Styela clava: one gene and its partner. The protein of the gene in region 1 purifies or fractionates together with the protein of each later gene. This does not show direct contact. Links are inferred from orthologs where the notes say so. Each region holds a gene or a part of one and is shown in the gene's direction. Other genes may lie near its edges.

What was found. Proteins that work in one complex are often made in the same cells at the same time.
Region 2: the proteins of uncharacterized protein LOC120330719 (region 1) and actin-related protein 2 purify together in Homo sapiens (affinity purification with mass spectrometry; 3 studies listed by BioGRID and IntAct, with this or other methods). This does not show direct contact. The link is inferred for Styela clava from reciprocal best matches to the Homo sapiens genes CTTN and ACTR2.

What each region holds. Positions count from the first base shown.
Region 1 is NC_135255.1:2,031,447-2,038,979, forward strand, and holds the start of uncharacterized protein LOC120330719, read left to right. Parts: upstream 1-4,436; 5' UTR 4,437-4,566; coding exon 4,567-4,662; intron 4,663-5,242; coding exon 5,243-5,316; intron 5,317-5,610; coding exon 5,611-5,697; intron 5,698-6,364; coding exon 6,365-6,518; intron 6,519-6,658; coding exon 6,659-6,769; intron 6,770-7,042; coding exon 7,043-7,097; intron 7,098-7,533. Other genes in the region: ribonuclease H2 subunit B-like, read left to right, coding at 2,916-3,794.
Region 2 is NC_135251.1:20,269,811-20,277,099, reverse strand, and holds the start of actin-related protein 2, read left to right. Parts: upstream 1-4,181; 5' UTR 4,182-4,293; coding exon 4,294-4,341; intron 4,342-7,289. UniProt on the Homo sapiens protein: ATP-binding component of the Arp2/3 complex, a multiprotein complex that mediates actin polymerization upon stimulation by nucleation-promoting factor (NPF).

The sequences.
Region 1 (7,533 bases):
GAAGCAAGATAGATTAAATTCCTTGGCTGTTTTATCCATTCACAGAGACGTTATTTCTGGGATGCATGACTTTAATCAGCGCGTTATTGAGCATTTTGCTTCCAAGAAACCGCGGCGTGTTGCATATATGTTCAAGCAGTAGAAGTCTAGCAGCATATATATCTATGAGTGAGCGACGCATGTCCTTATCTTTGCATTAACTTTCCTTTCTTCATAGTAACGTTTTAAACCTTATTTTAGGTTTTGTCTGCTTTCCCGAAGTTTCTGTTAATATGTCATTGTACCCATATTGCCTTTCCTTTTGAAAGAGGTTTCAAAATAAACTATGTCTATATTTATTAATCCCTTGACTTGGACCGGTTTTAAAGACACTTTCTTATCGTTAAAAATTGTCGCTTTTGCTGATTGGTTGTTACCGATGGAATGGTTTTTATACTCATAAAATGATGGGAGAACTTACAGCGCTCATCCTGTCCCCGTAGATGGGGGTGACTTGGTCCCGCAGTAGCTTGCCCCGGTTGTCAAAATGACCACGCGCCACCACTGATATGCAATATATATATTCTAAAGTTCTAAACTGTGAACAACTTTATTTGGAATATTACAATATTCTGTATATCTTTGCTTCCATCATATTTGAAATACATGCTTTTCCCTTACTGGTTGATGCCAAATTTAGGTCTAAAAATCGACAATTTGCAAATTTAGATATTTTAAAGTTTTCCTAAAATCGAGAATCTACTACTTCCAATATAATAAACTTGTAATAGGTTTGAATATTCAATTCGTTTTGAACATCCTGATTTTGGGGTTTCATTTTCATCAACTGCTTAAACCATACAAAAGCAGATTTGCAGTTTTGGGGAATGTTTCCATATTTAAAGGGTGGTAATTATTTTGTTCTTAGCCATGAAACAATTTGTAACCCATAAAAAGTACGGTAATGTATTTGACTGACCATCTGCACTTGTAGCCTACATGTGATACTTACTGGATATGCAAATACAATTATATTTCAGTTAGGAATTTAGAGCCTGAAATGGATCTCGATGTTGAAAAAAATTTGCTGTTTGGGCGATTACACAAAAGATATAAGTGGAAACAATTGTTTTTGACTGCGCTCATAAAAACGCAATGACTTCCATTGGAGAGATTACACCAAAGTCTTCAGTTGATCCCGCAAAAAAAGAATAGAAGCGCGCTCTAGTTCTATTTATAGGTATGGCTTCGGTAGCTTACTACAAAACCAGGCCACGCAATGACATTGAGATCGCCTCGCAAAATACGGAATTATCGATAAAATATAGCCAAATACATGTAAATGGGGAAGCGATTACAATAAACCACATTGGGTAATGTTCTGTGGTCGTTAATGTTCGCTTTTGACTGGTACGTTGGACATATTATCATCCACGACTAACGCAAATTGAAAAAAAAAAAAACAGTTAGAATTAGCACGGTATGGTTGGGGAGGCCGTAACCGACCACCGGTTACATGAAACCAATTCCTAACGCTTAGCACGATGAGCCACGCCGCCTCGCCACTAATACGAGCCAACAGCAAGAAACGAATCAAGATCAGGCGAATAGGCTATGCAAGAAAAATTGACGCAAATATTCGATTTCTGTCAAATACCATAATAATTGCATTACGCGCCATGAAAAAGTTGGAAGTCCATCGTCAAAACGAAAGAGCCTTCAATTGATACCACAGAAATGAGAGAGAAGCGGACCCCCTGTATATATCTGGGGCTGCAACAGACTAGACTGAAATTAGCGGTTAGTACGTGTCGTTAAATCTTTGGAATTATATTGATGGTTATGAAACGAGTAAACCATTTTGTAAAACCATTTTGTCAACTGTCGGAAGAGATGTCAAAAAATAAGAACATGAGAAGCAGTCATAACCACCAACGACTGATAACCATGGTATAACTCGAGCCGGAAAGATTCACGGTTGAATGCATATGTCAATCAAACTGTCGCTCATGGGCGAGCCTCTTGTTGTGCCTGACGGTGTTTTGCAATTTCCTCCAAGTTTGGGCGCTGTACCGTTGTCGTACATGATATTCTTTTTACGAATTTCGAAGAAAACTGGTCTCATTCTATGCGAAGCCAACTTCTGATTTATCGATAGTATAAACAGTTTTCTAGAAGCTGTAGTACTGTATGGTAGAACTTAGATACCGTACTGTAGACAGAAACGAGAATCGACTGACAAATCAGTAAAAGCTGGAAAGTCTTAACTCTAAACTGGAAGAGGAATTTGAAACACCAAGCACCAGGGAATTGTGTGTCTACTTCTATACCTAGTCTACTTTCCTTAATACATATAACAGAATGGAAAAAAACCAGTAGGCTACCGGTACTGTAGTAGTCTACCGTAAAGTAAAACAATCAGACAATGTTAATCGTTAATTTTAAAAGTAATAGCCTACAAACCTAAAACATTCCAGCATTTAGTCTATGTTATTCAGTTATTGCAACCACATAGGGTACAGTATTGTACACAACTTATTTCAAACCAACTTATCGGGAAAATGGTAATGCTGTATGTTTGAATGTGAAATTTGAGATTTAAGTTATTATTATTACAGTATTATAGTCTATATCTGTATATAATCAATCCCAAAGTGGAAACATGAAGGTTGTGTGTAATGTCAGAATGTGTATAAAAATTGCAAAGAGACATTTGTCGTCCCCTTGCTCAAGGGTTTATTTGGGCCAATTTTAGATTTAGAAAAATAAAGAATGTGTTCCAAAGCAATAATTTGACATACAGACATACTGGTATGCATTTTTAGATTTGTACAGTAAACACAATCATTCCACTGACTTTTACCTTGAATTTATTTCTGCAATCTTGAATTGTCACGTTCTACAGTTCTAGCAAACTTGTAGATTATATCTTAAAAATGGGTACAAATGAAGACTGTAGCAATGAATGGATATATATGTTGCCGAAAGATTGTGTGATGAATAAGCTGGAAGGAGGGATCAAGTCTGAGAATCTAAATGTAGATTCAACATCGCTGTCTGTGCTTACCTTGAAACATCCATGTACAGGAGAGCCTTCAAAATTCCTGTTTAATGACAAACTGAAGCAGTTGTATGAAATAAATTCACACAGAGATAAGTATGGATCCTGGTTTGTTGATGCCAAAGTTCAGCAGGATGGTTCTTTATTCGTTGCAACAATAATTGACCCACTTTATATTGTTCTTCCTTATTTGAATAACAGTGGTCAGGCAGAAAAATATGTAATTTTAGATCAGATTTTAAAAGATGAAAAATATTCAGATTGTAACAAATTTGTTAAGATATTATCAAAATCACAAATGGAAAATGTTGCAGAAGTCTCTGGAACTGGTGATTTTGTAGGATTCAAATACAGCCAGGAAAAAACATTGGAATGGCTGAGTAAAAAAGTCAAAAATACAGTAAATGCTGTCACTTCTTCTGGTATTTTTATAGCGGATAATTGTGATGATAAAGAAAATGAAGATGAAATTCAACTAGAATATGCTTTTCGATTTGTTGAAAGCTATCTTAATGAAGATATTGCGAGTCTTCTACAGAAACATTTAAATATAAGAAAACGTGCAGAAAAGCGACATTCTATGGAGCACGGGAATCAGCTCACTGCAAAAAAAATCAAAAACGAGAAAGAAAGTCATGGAGAAGCTAAAAATAAAAAGGCAAAAGTGTCAAAAGCACAAAGAGACTTGAATAAAGTAAACAAAAAGGGAATGAAAAGCATTTCAAGTTTTTTTTCTCCATCGAGTAAAAAATAGGAGATATTATAGAAATTATGATTTGAATGTAAAGTGTATTTTTAACAGAATGAGCATTTTTGCTATTTCCTACCGCTTTGTTGCTGTCTCGCAATGCCATCAACTGCCAACATGTACTTTCCTATGTTTAATATAAGTGCTCACGATTTTGCTTAATCTTCACAAAGATATTATTTTGCAAAGTTTTCAGATACTCGTTTGTTTGCTATCAATCTAAAGCTGCATTTGACATGAATGTTAAAGCAGATTAGCAATGATTGTATGTTTTCTCTATTTTCATTTAATAATAAACTAATGGTAACGATCAAGGTTTCAATGTTACATTCTTTATAATTTTTTTCATATTTACCATAAATTTGAATTGAAGTAGGGATATTATAATTTCTGCTGCTCAGCTATATTTGATGATGACAAATTGTTATCGAATTTTGGTGAACATTCTTCGGTATCCATTGTACCTAAGACAAATCATTATCTTAAGTTACTCAACAGTAAAATATTTCAATAAGCATCGTGAAAATGAAGTACCGGTAAAGAAATACTATTTTTTAGCCATTAGGATTTCCATGTTGAAAGCTTTTTGATTATTTTCACTGTATTTTGTATGGTAGACTGGAAATTGTTGACATGCTGCTTTATACAAAGTTTCAATGTTCCTCATTTTTTTCATTAAAAATGTTCTAAATTACTTTTGTATTCAATTTTTAATGAATAGTTTTAAAAATCTAAGAGAATTGATTAAATATTGAAAAAGCCACTATTAATCGAAAACATGTGGAGATCCACAGTAGGAAATAATGTTGATATCAAAAACCCAACAGTTGGAAATGATGATGATGATGAATGGGAAACTGATCCTGATTTTGTGGTGAAGTATTAATCACATAATGATTGGTACTCCTGAAGTATGTGAACCAAGATAGCGGACACCATAACGTAGTATGTGTACCAGGTTAGGCTTAGGCCATAATTTCAGGCACAAATACTACGGGAGTCACTTGGCAAGTCCCCGAACTCGTAATAGAACTATAATAAGGAAAATTGAAGTAAAATTATGGCCTAACCTGGTACACATACTATGCTCCGGTATCTGCCATCTTGGTTCCCATACTTCGGGAGTACCTAATAATTAACATAATAAATGAACAGAATTTGGAAAATTACTATGACTAGCATAATGTCAATATTTACTTAATACATACCATATACTGCTTATTTGACAACTGTTTTATTCAGAGCCTTACCCAGACTGAGGAAAGAGATTTATTATTTGGTCAACCAGCAAACGAGCGCCGCAACAATAATAAAAATATACTACATTCTCAAGGTTATTAGGTATATGCTGGGTAACGATATCAAAATCAGCTCCCCAAGACATGAAAAAATTGTATAAAGAATCTGGTAGTAGATGGTTTTGTTTTAAATAAAGTTCATTTATTTATCTATAGAATGAAGTTTCTGAAACAGAACAAAGATGGGGATCAAAAACTATCGAAGGTTCAGGAAGAGTTGGACACATAAGGTATCGGTTTCAGCTAAATGTAATATGAAGTGGATGGAAATGTTAATATCAGAGTTACAGAAAGCACTATTTTAGAATTCTATCATTTATTCTCTGTACTGAACGCTTGATCAAAGTTATTGTACAGCTACTCTCATCATTTCTCTAATTGAGAGTGTGTCTTTCCAGCTGCACTTTAAATCTATCAGAAGGCATATCAAAAGTGCCTTTTGAAACTATAATTGGACATAGTACGCTTTTCAAGCATTGCTTACTCATTTTTGTTATAATTGTTCATTTTCTATTTCGTTTTAGTGTAAGTGGACTTCGTAAAGATGTGCAAAAAGATGATGAAAAAGCGAAGCAAGAAGAAGCAAAAACAGGACCAAAAGCATCATATGGGTGAGTAATTTATGACATTCTATTCTGTTATGCACAAAAGTGGGGGTAGTTACATCATTCTCTAATTCACCGACTCGTGCATCGTGCATTTTAAATTTACTCCACAATAAAGTCAATGCATCTGGAACAAATAACTGGCTTACTAACCCCATACTCGACATAAACTGGTAACCGGACGAGAGGCTGTGGTTCGACATATGGCTTTCCTCTTTCCCGAGATAAATATGTAAATCTTTAGCCTTAAACCTTAGCCTTCCTTGGTTTTTGTGTGATATTGTAAATGCTCTAAAGTCTAAAGTGTGGAGGATTAACATTTTCAATAAAAATTTCTGTTTATAGAGTTTGTGTAATCTAGTTCACAAATCAATAGAATAGTCACCATGTTTCACTGATCCATGTGTCTTACCTAAAGCGAACTTCCTGAGTGGGAAGTTTGGTACAATTAACACATGATATAGCTATATAGTTACAACCACTTTTATGGAATGCCCCCAGAAATAAACAAATGAGTATAATATTGAGTTCAAAGTCATACCATAATTGTATTTTAAAGAATTTTTTTTTTATGTTAGTTTATTTGGTTCAAAAACAAAAGATATTCTGCTAATAAGTATCCTTTCTCGATATAGAATAGTCACCCCTATCTATTCATGATTCTGTTATTCAGGTACGGAGGAAAGTTTGGTGTTCAGAAAGACCGAATGGATAAATCTGCTGTTGATAACACATATCAGGCAAAGCTTGCAGCTCATACATCCCAAGTTGATGCAGCAAAAGGATTTGGCGGGAAATTTGGTGTACAGAAAGACAGAGTTGACAAAGTTAGTATTGCTATTATGTTAATTATATTATAAAAGCCATGCACATGTATGGGATTCAGAAATTGTCATTTCGTTTCTCTCAATTTTTTGATTGTTTCCATTATATTTTTTTAATCTTAAAATGTATATATTATATTTAGTCTGCTGTTGACTTCAGTTATAAAGCCAAACTCGCAGCTCACGAATCTCAAACAGACGCAGCTAAAGGTTTTGGTGGTAAATTTGGTGTACAAAAAGACAGGATGGATAAGGTACTGAATTTTGCATTAAAGGCAACACATGCAATTTTTGAAACCTCTTTATCAGCTGGATCATAAGACGCATTAACTTCAGCCAACCAGGTCCAACCTCTTACATCTTGAATGAATTACTGGGTAATTAGTCCCATACCCAACCCTGGATTAAAAAACAACTATGTTGTATACATTTCTCATTATCCTAATTAATTTGTAATTTTTTTATACAAACAAACATTTATGTAAATTGGGAGAAATATCATATTCTTTCTATTTATACGATTCCAGAGTGCTGAAACTTTCGAATACAAAGAGAAGATGAACAAGCATGAGTCTCAAAAAGGTATAAAATACCTAATTTTTTGCATGTTTACTTGATTGCTCATTTAATGCACAACATCCGTTGGGTTTTCTATCAAAGTCATTTATATTCATTTATTTCAAAGTTCTATTAAAAAAATTGTTTATATTTGAAAATAAATTGAATGAAGTCCCAGCTTATTAATTCATTTTAGAATTTTGCTCATATAATTTATATTCTGATTTACCTAACTTCATAAAAAATAACGTTTTACTGCAACAGAATATCATTTCATATTCATAATGATCAGAGTTATTTAATTTGATTTAACGAAGACGCTTTCAAATAAATTGACTCAATTATATGAAATTTTCAAATATTATTGTGTTATTGTTGATGTTTGATTTATTGATTAATTTGCTCATTTCACGCTAAATCTTACATAGATCTGTCAGTTAATATTTTTATTAGTAATTTC
Region 2 (7,289 bases), on another chromosome or scaffold:
TTCACACCCAATAACAAACACGTTTTATCAATAACTCACTGCAGAGAATAGTCATATGTTAGAATTGCGTTGAAAAAATAATTATGACTTCAATGAACAAAAAATGAGGAATTCACCTAGACCAGGGTGGTCCAGGATTGGCAGCTCCCCGGGCCACAAAATTACTTTTGCATTGTTCGCGGGCCACAATAGTGCCAAAAACTTTGCTCGTTTAACTTCGCTAGTTGCCCCAGCAAGCCATAACACTAGTCAATTTAGTGACATTAATGATGCAACAATATGTCAAAAGATTTTTTTAGTTAATTTTATGACGAAACAACACAAAATGCAATTTTTTGATTCGTCTCCTAATGCGATGTGGGCCACAGATAATGAAGTGGCGGGCCACATGTGAACCGCGGGCCTGGGTTTGGACCCCCCTGACCTAGACCATTGGCGGAAAGAAAAAAACAAGATGGTAGCGATTCGAAATTTAGCTTTGAACCGATTTGAATAATTTAATATTCGATTCGATTCGAATATTCGATTCGAAATGCCCAGCCCTAGTGATATGTTTAAAAAAGCTTGGGATAACATATGACAAGCAGTGAAAAACACAAGAAAATTTATATAAAAAAAAATAAACAATTCGAATTTACGCAAACGATCATTTGTTGGAACGTGAAAACATGATGGTAGATGAATTGACAAGGGCTTTGTGGAACTCCCATCCCCATCATTATCCACTCTTTTTTTTAGCGTAAAAGTAAAACGTAACATTTCGATATTGATTGTATCAGTTGTATATATATATACATTTTATTGTGGAGTGGAATGGAGTTTATTTTGAAATTATTAAGTAACTCTAACAGTAGGCTTTTTCAGAGAGAAGTACATTTTACATTTTGTCGAACGTGATTTTGTTGCATATTTTCAAGTCATGGCTGCAATATGTTTTCTCAGAAGTCTTCGGAAAATTCAACTTTTAAAAGCCGCTCGGGTTTCCGATTATCGAACTTAAAAACTTGTGAGCGAACACGTACTACTTCTTTTATCAATACCTTTTCATTTAAAATCTGTACGTTTCAAACCTTACTCTAGGTTTTGCTCGCTTTCCCGATTCTATAATCAGTTACTTTTACTTCTGTTTTTATCTATTTTTTTATCGTCTATTGCTGATTATGGAGCCGAAATAAACTTATACTTATACTATAACTATCTTGTGCAGTTTTGGTACACAGCGAGTCCAATTTAGCTGGATAATTTCCATGAAATCTGTTTCGTTTTTGGAGTTACAAGTCATCATTGAGCTGGGTTGCGCCTACAAACAGGGGTTTGTTCAATAAATTTGCCATCGCAGTATATTATGGCCGGTAGTTGGCGACATTTATTTATAAAATTTGTGACTTATAGAACAAAACTCATCGAATAGATTGTATTTATATCTAGAGCGCAGCCAGTCCAAATTTTTATTAGGGGGTCAACGAATTGATTCATTGTCTTGTTATAGGGCATTATATTCCCTCCATGGGCGTATGTACCGAGGAGATTGCACCCATGGACGGATACCTCGAGTGAATATAAGCAGCTTGTACTGATTTTTGCATTGAACCAGATTCTGATATATCACGATAAATGGTTCCATTACATTTGAACCCGTAATTTGAACCCACGACAATTGCACCTGCATACTATTGCACCTATGAATTTTTTTTATTTTACGGATATTTGAACTCATCCTAACTCATGGATTTTAGCACCCTCATTTGAAACCGCGGATATTCGGGTGTAAATGTATGGGTTCAAGTGTACGGTCACCCGATAAATATAAGGAGTTATTTTTATTTAGAATCGATATTGCCTATCCAATTAATTGCACCCTGGATGAGGTGGAGGCATGGGATTTCAGCCCGGAATGTGTTATCTTTGATGCTTACACAGTTAAAGGCAAGATATATATATTATACGTGGAATAGCTTGGAACACTAGGTTAGAGAGTTTCTATCACAGATACATGATCTGCGATATCACTCCCGAAAAAATGGAACGACACAAAAAGCTTAGTAGTGAGGGTAATTTAACAGCTGTGAACCCCCATATTTCGTTAGTAAAAATCCACTTCAAATTTATATTGAAAACATGAAGAAAATAATCAAGACATCAAGCTGAGTACATTTGGGGCCACCACCCATACAAATTTATTCGTGGCTAGTAATTATCTTTTTTTTTTTATCGTTGGTCCTTTCATGATGACGATGAACAGCGCCCAAATCCAAAGTAATCGATGATTGCAACCGTGTCTTGAATCAACATGATAAAGATGAAAATATACTTTATTGCAGTGGTTTCCTAACTGGGTGTAATTAAACCCATTCAATGGTGCTCAGAAGTATGTCGCACAACCTGAATTCTGACCGGTACACACATACTATGTTTAGGTTGTGCGCCATCTTGGTGCGCGTCCCATTTGAGAATACTTAGAGGATAATTTAGACGTTTACTGCCTTTACAATTTCTTTTGGAATCTTTGTCCCAGCTTTTTCGAAGCACATCCTGACATCCATCTTAAAACTGAATTGGAAAATGGAATAGGGGATAGTATCATGGTAAAAAATCGAATTTCTGACTTCATGACTATAATTAAATTGTAACATCGCTAGGATTCAAGTCTCAAAATCGACCTTGCAAGGAAAGACATTGGAAAGTTTCTTGGTTTGTGTTGATATTCAACGTGACAAATTGCGCGATATTAATTTTATTACATGCAGGGGATTTGCTGGAACCGCTGCATAATGTAAGTACTAGCAATTCGAAGTCCATTTTTCAAAATTTTGTCTGTTAGAAACGATCGGGAGGGGATTTCATGACACCCATTTTAGAAAAAAGAATGTTAGCACGAATATGTTAAGCCAAAGAGCGCCATTTTTAAAAGCCATGAATTTTTTCAAATCTGAAAAGGTATTTTGGTTGATAAATTGTCAAGATTCATTCATTGTCATCAGTGTTCGACGTACAAAATCTACTTTGAGATATCATAAAGAAAAACAGCATCAAATACGCACTTGTTGGATGACATTGAATATACGATTTTGCAATCAAATCGTGAACAATATATTTTGACTGAAAACTTATTCTGAATTTATCATTGTCAAATTTTCATAATCAGCGATCTTGGTACTTCAATTACTTTTCACATTTATTGGGTCTTTACCAATACAGAGTTAGTGATATTCTCTTGAATCAAACGCCACAGGAGAGAAATTTACGACAACGTAATCATTTTTAAAGAAATTGTACTTTATGAAGATGATTTGTACCTGAGATGTCAGTTACCGATTAAAATAAATCGTAACCGTTAACTATCTAAAATCGGTTAACCATTCCCAGCCCTAGCTCAGACAGACACAGATTTTCAGGCGTGCCTTCTCGCGGTTTTGCGTGTTATTGGACACGTTTTCAGTTTTGTTTCCAAAAAATTACTAGTGAATGAAGTATTTTAATTGTCTTCATGTCTTCCGATGAGCTTTAGTTTAAAATCAATGATCAAAAATTAGTTATGGAAAAGCTGCGATAAACTAGGCTAAAATGAGCTAAAATCAGTACCAGTAATCGGCACGTGGTTTCATATTTCAATAAAAATAATGATTTTGAGCATGTAAATCAGTTTGTCAGTTGCTAATCTCCAAAACACTCGCAAAATTTAGCAATAGTAAAGTACGGTAAAGTATAAGGAGCATTTTTCTGGGTCTAGGTCGGGGAAACATCTATTATATATTTTCATTCTATTTACATGAATTTTAATTTACTATCACGGAAGAATTTATCAAACTCAAATTGCGCCATATGTGATAAACTGCCATAATAACAATAGCTGCTATGCCTGTCGCAATTGGAAAACTTCTAATATATAGTCCATATTTCAGATGTATATTTTATGGACAAATATATCACTGAACTTTAATACGCGTTTAGAGTCCGGCCTTTTTCTCGCATATGGGCTTCTATTTGTTTCAAGTATATAACGGTTAAGTATTAACGGTATATACGGGCTCGGCTTTAAGTTTATGATAAACACAACCACAAAGATATATAAATATGTATAATCGTAAATATATACTACTACATTCCCAGTTCAGTGACTACAATTGATTGCTACAACGTCATCATGCGGCGTAGTTACGGTTGAGTTGATTTTACCGGCGGAAGTTCTTGTGACATCTAGTGGATTTACATCTAGCTGTAGGGTGTTAACGTTTGTGTTTCTTTGCTGAGTGAGGAAGTTTGCGAGGAAATTATCGGATTTATTGAAGGAACATGGATTCCGCAGGCCGAAAGGTCGTTGTTTGCGACAACGGAACTGGGGTGAGTTTCATTATTAATAGTTAACATTCCGTGACTTATAGCAATACTAGCTGACTAGCCTATGCCAAGTATGTTTGTTTGCTTGATCACTTTACTGCAGGCCTCAGTTTTGACTGTCTGATGCTGTGATGACCCTCGGATCACCCACTGCCTGACTCATTCAAACATCCATTCATTACCGTATATAGCCTATTACTTATTACCAATTTTTTAACATTCCCCTTCTGTAGGCTACTGTAATAAAACACATGTTATAGCCTACCTCTATAGTATTACAGTACGGCACATTCTATAAATCGATAACATTGTCTCATTTTGGAGAATCCCATTTTGTCGATGAAGAAACACCCCTCCTTTAGGAGACGTCTGGATATTGTTGTCCCTCAATATCGGCAAAAATACAGTAAAATGAAGTTGCGCAAAAAACTACAAAGAAGCGCAATCTAAAGACGTCATAATTGAATTGCTCAGGGGGAAAAAATGATTCGATTCACCAAAAGAAAATATTTGGTTTTCATGTAGTTTCGTACCTAACATACTTCAAGTGGGCGTAGCCTAACAAATTTTCCATGTGTCGATCCTAACCTCCACGTGACTACGCCGTCCAAAAATTACGTCATTACGACATCACAGTGACATAATAGAGCTTGAAACTATTCAAACTGTCATCCAAGACGCGCAGACAAGCACCTGAAATCAAACAGCTATTTCTCTTGTTTTTTTGTCGCAACAATCCCTATATAAGAAAGAGATCGCTGACGTTAGTCATTCATTTATCGTCAGCGCCGATGCAATTTCGTGCTATTGTACGTGTATTTGGCAAGCTCTATGATGTGATTGTGATGTCGTAATAACATAATTTTTGGAGGGCATAGTCAGGTGGGGGTTAGGGTTGACATGTCAAAAAATGTTATGCTACGCCTACTAGAAGTATGTAAGTAGAAGTACGAAACTACACGAGACCCAAAAATTTTCTATCGTGGCATTATAGAATTTTAAGCGAAAATCAACAATTTTGGTCACATGATGGCCACGATTAATTTAGATTATTATCAGGACAAGCATTGCGCTATATGACGCATCCGCCGTCGTGCAAGATGCCCCTAGTTTATGAGACACATGGTGTGTTTGTTAGAGCTCGACCGATATCACTTTTTGGCACCGATACCGATAACGATATATCGGCCAACTAGTGACCGATAACCGATATTGACATACCGATATCTAGAACTCGAACCCGCAGTAAATACAAATAGAAAGAAACATTCAGTTTCAGTCAATCAAAAGTTTATGTTGAAAAATAAAGCAGTCCTACACAGTGCTTGCATCATTAATAAAAGTTTCGCAGCAAATAATAAGAACACACATTAATGCACAAGAGAAAAAAGGCAGTCAGTAAAAAGCTTATAGAAGTCCATTTTGATCCATACAGTAGTAGGTGGGAGTAGGCTTGCACGTAATTTACGGAATTGTTTGGAGTTACGGAAGGGAAGTTACAATTACGTAAAGTCGTAATTATTGGTCGAGCGCTTTCGCGTTTGAAACGTGCTCCTTCCAAGCAGCCAATTCCGTCGATTGTAAAAAATCAAAGTTTAACAAGTAGAAGAAGTTAGAGTTCCGGTATTCGCAGCCGTTTTGAGCCGGCATGACGCGTTGCCACCCCGTTTGAGCGTTTGGTTTCACGGTCAAAACGATATTATTATAAGCGTTGTCACCGTAACGCAATTAGCACCGACAGACTTTTTTGTCTTCACGATTTGGTATCTTTTTTATTCGGCACTGATAATGATAAATAAGAATGTGTGATAGTTGATTGTAATTCCGGAAGGCGTATTTTTCTTTCTCTCCGTGAAACAGACATGAAACGAATTTTACCGCCGCTATAAGCGCTTAAAAGGAGAGGAGGCTAGGCTACTTTCTTTTCCCGACTCAATCACTTTTATAAATACAAATCACAGCGCATTAAAAAACAAAATAGAATTTATTAGCATTAATAAACAACAAGTTACGGGTAAGAATTTATCGCCGGCTAAATAATTATTATTTGATTTAAATTTATCGCAAATGATGTTATAACATTTAGGCCGCGAAATGATTTGATATAAAATGAAGCTTGGTAATCGGAATATCGTCAATAATTCAGCATCAATAATTATTATAAAATGCTAACTAGGTAGCAAAGTCGGATAATGTATAAAAACGGAGCAATAACAAGTCTTCGTCGCGAGGCAAGCGCAGGTATAATCAAATGAGAAAATACGCTTGTCGTTGATTAATAACTTAGAAACCCGAAATTTTTATTCAATACGAAAGTCGATTTTAAAAAAGGCAACTATCGTTTCATAAATATCCGTATACCATTATCGGTAATGATAAAATTGATCGCATAAAATTGGGACGGTTAATTTGCGAACGTGATAAAGGAAAATCAAAGCCAACACAATTAAACAAGATAAAGATCAGAATAAATTTAATTTGAATTCACTCCTTGGTATTTGTCTTTAACATCTGTCGCCGGCGTGTAGTACTGTCGGTAATTTGAAAACCAAACTTCGATGTCCCATTCGGAAAAGAAGTGGATTCGAATGGTTTTTATGATAGGTTTAAACGTGTGAAAAAAATATCGCAATTACGGGGTCATTACGTAATCAATTTTTCCGTAATTGATTTTTGTCGATTACGTGCAAGCCTAGTGGGGACGCAAGATATTCGAAGGCGAGGATTTTGCGCCGCACGAAGAGAGAAATATAGAAGAGAACTCTCTGTTCATTGAAAGGCAAAATGAGAGAAGCGTAAAAAAGGAAAACGCTCGGCCGCAGATATTTCCCGGGGAAAAATACTCATTTTTTAGAACGTGGAAAAGCGACTAACGCTGATATATATCGGCCAGATATATCGGCCGGTTGGGCCGATATGATATATCGGCAAACACGCAATATCGGCCCGAT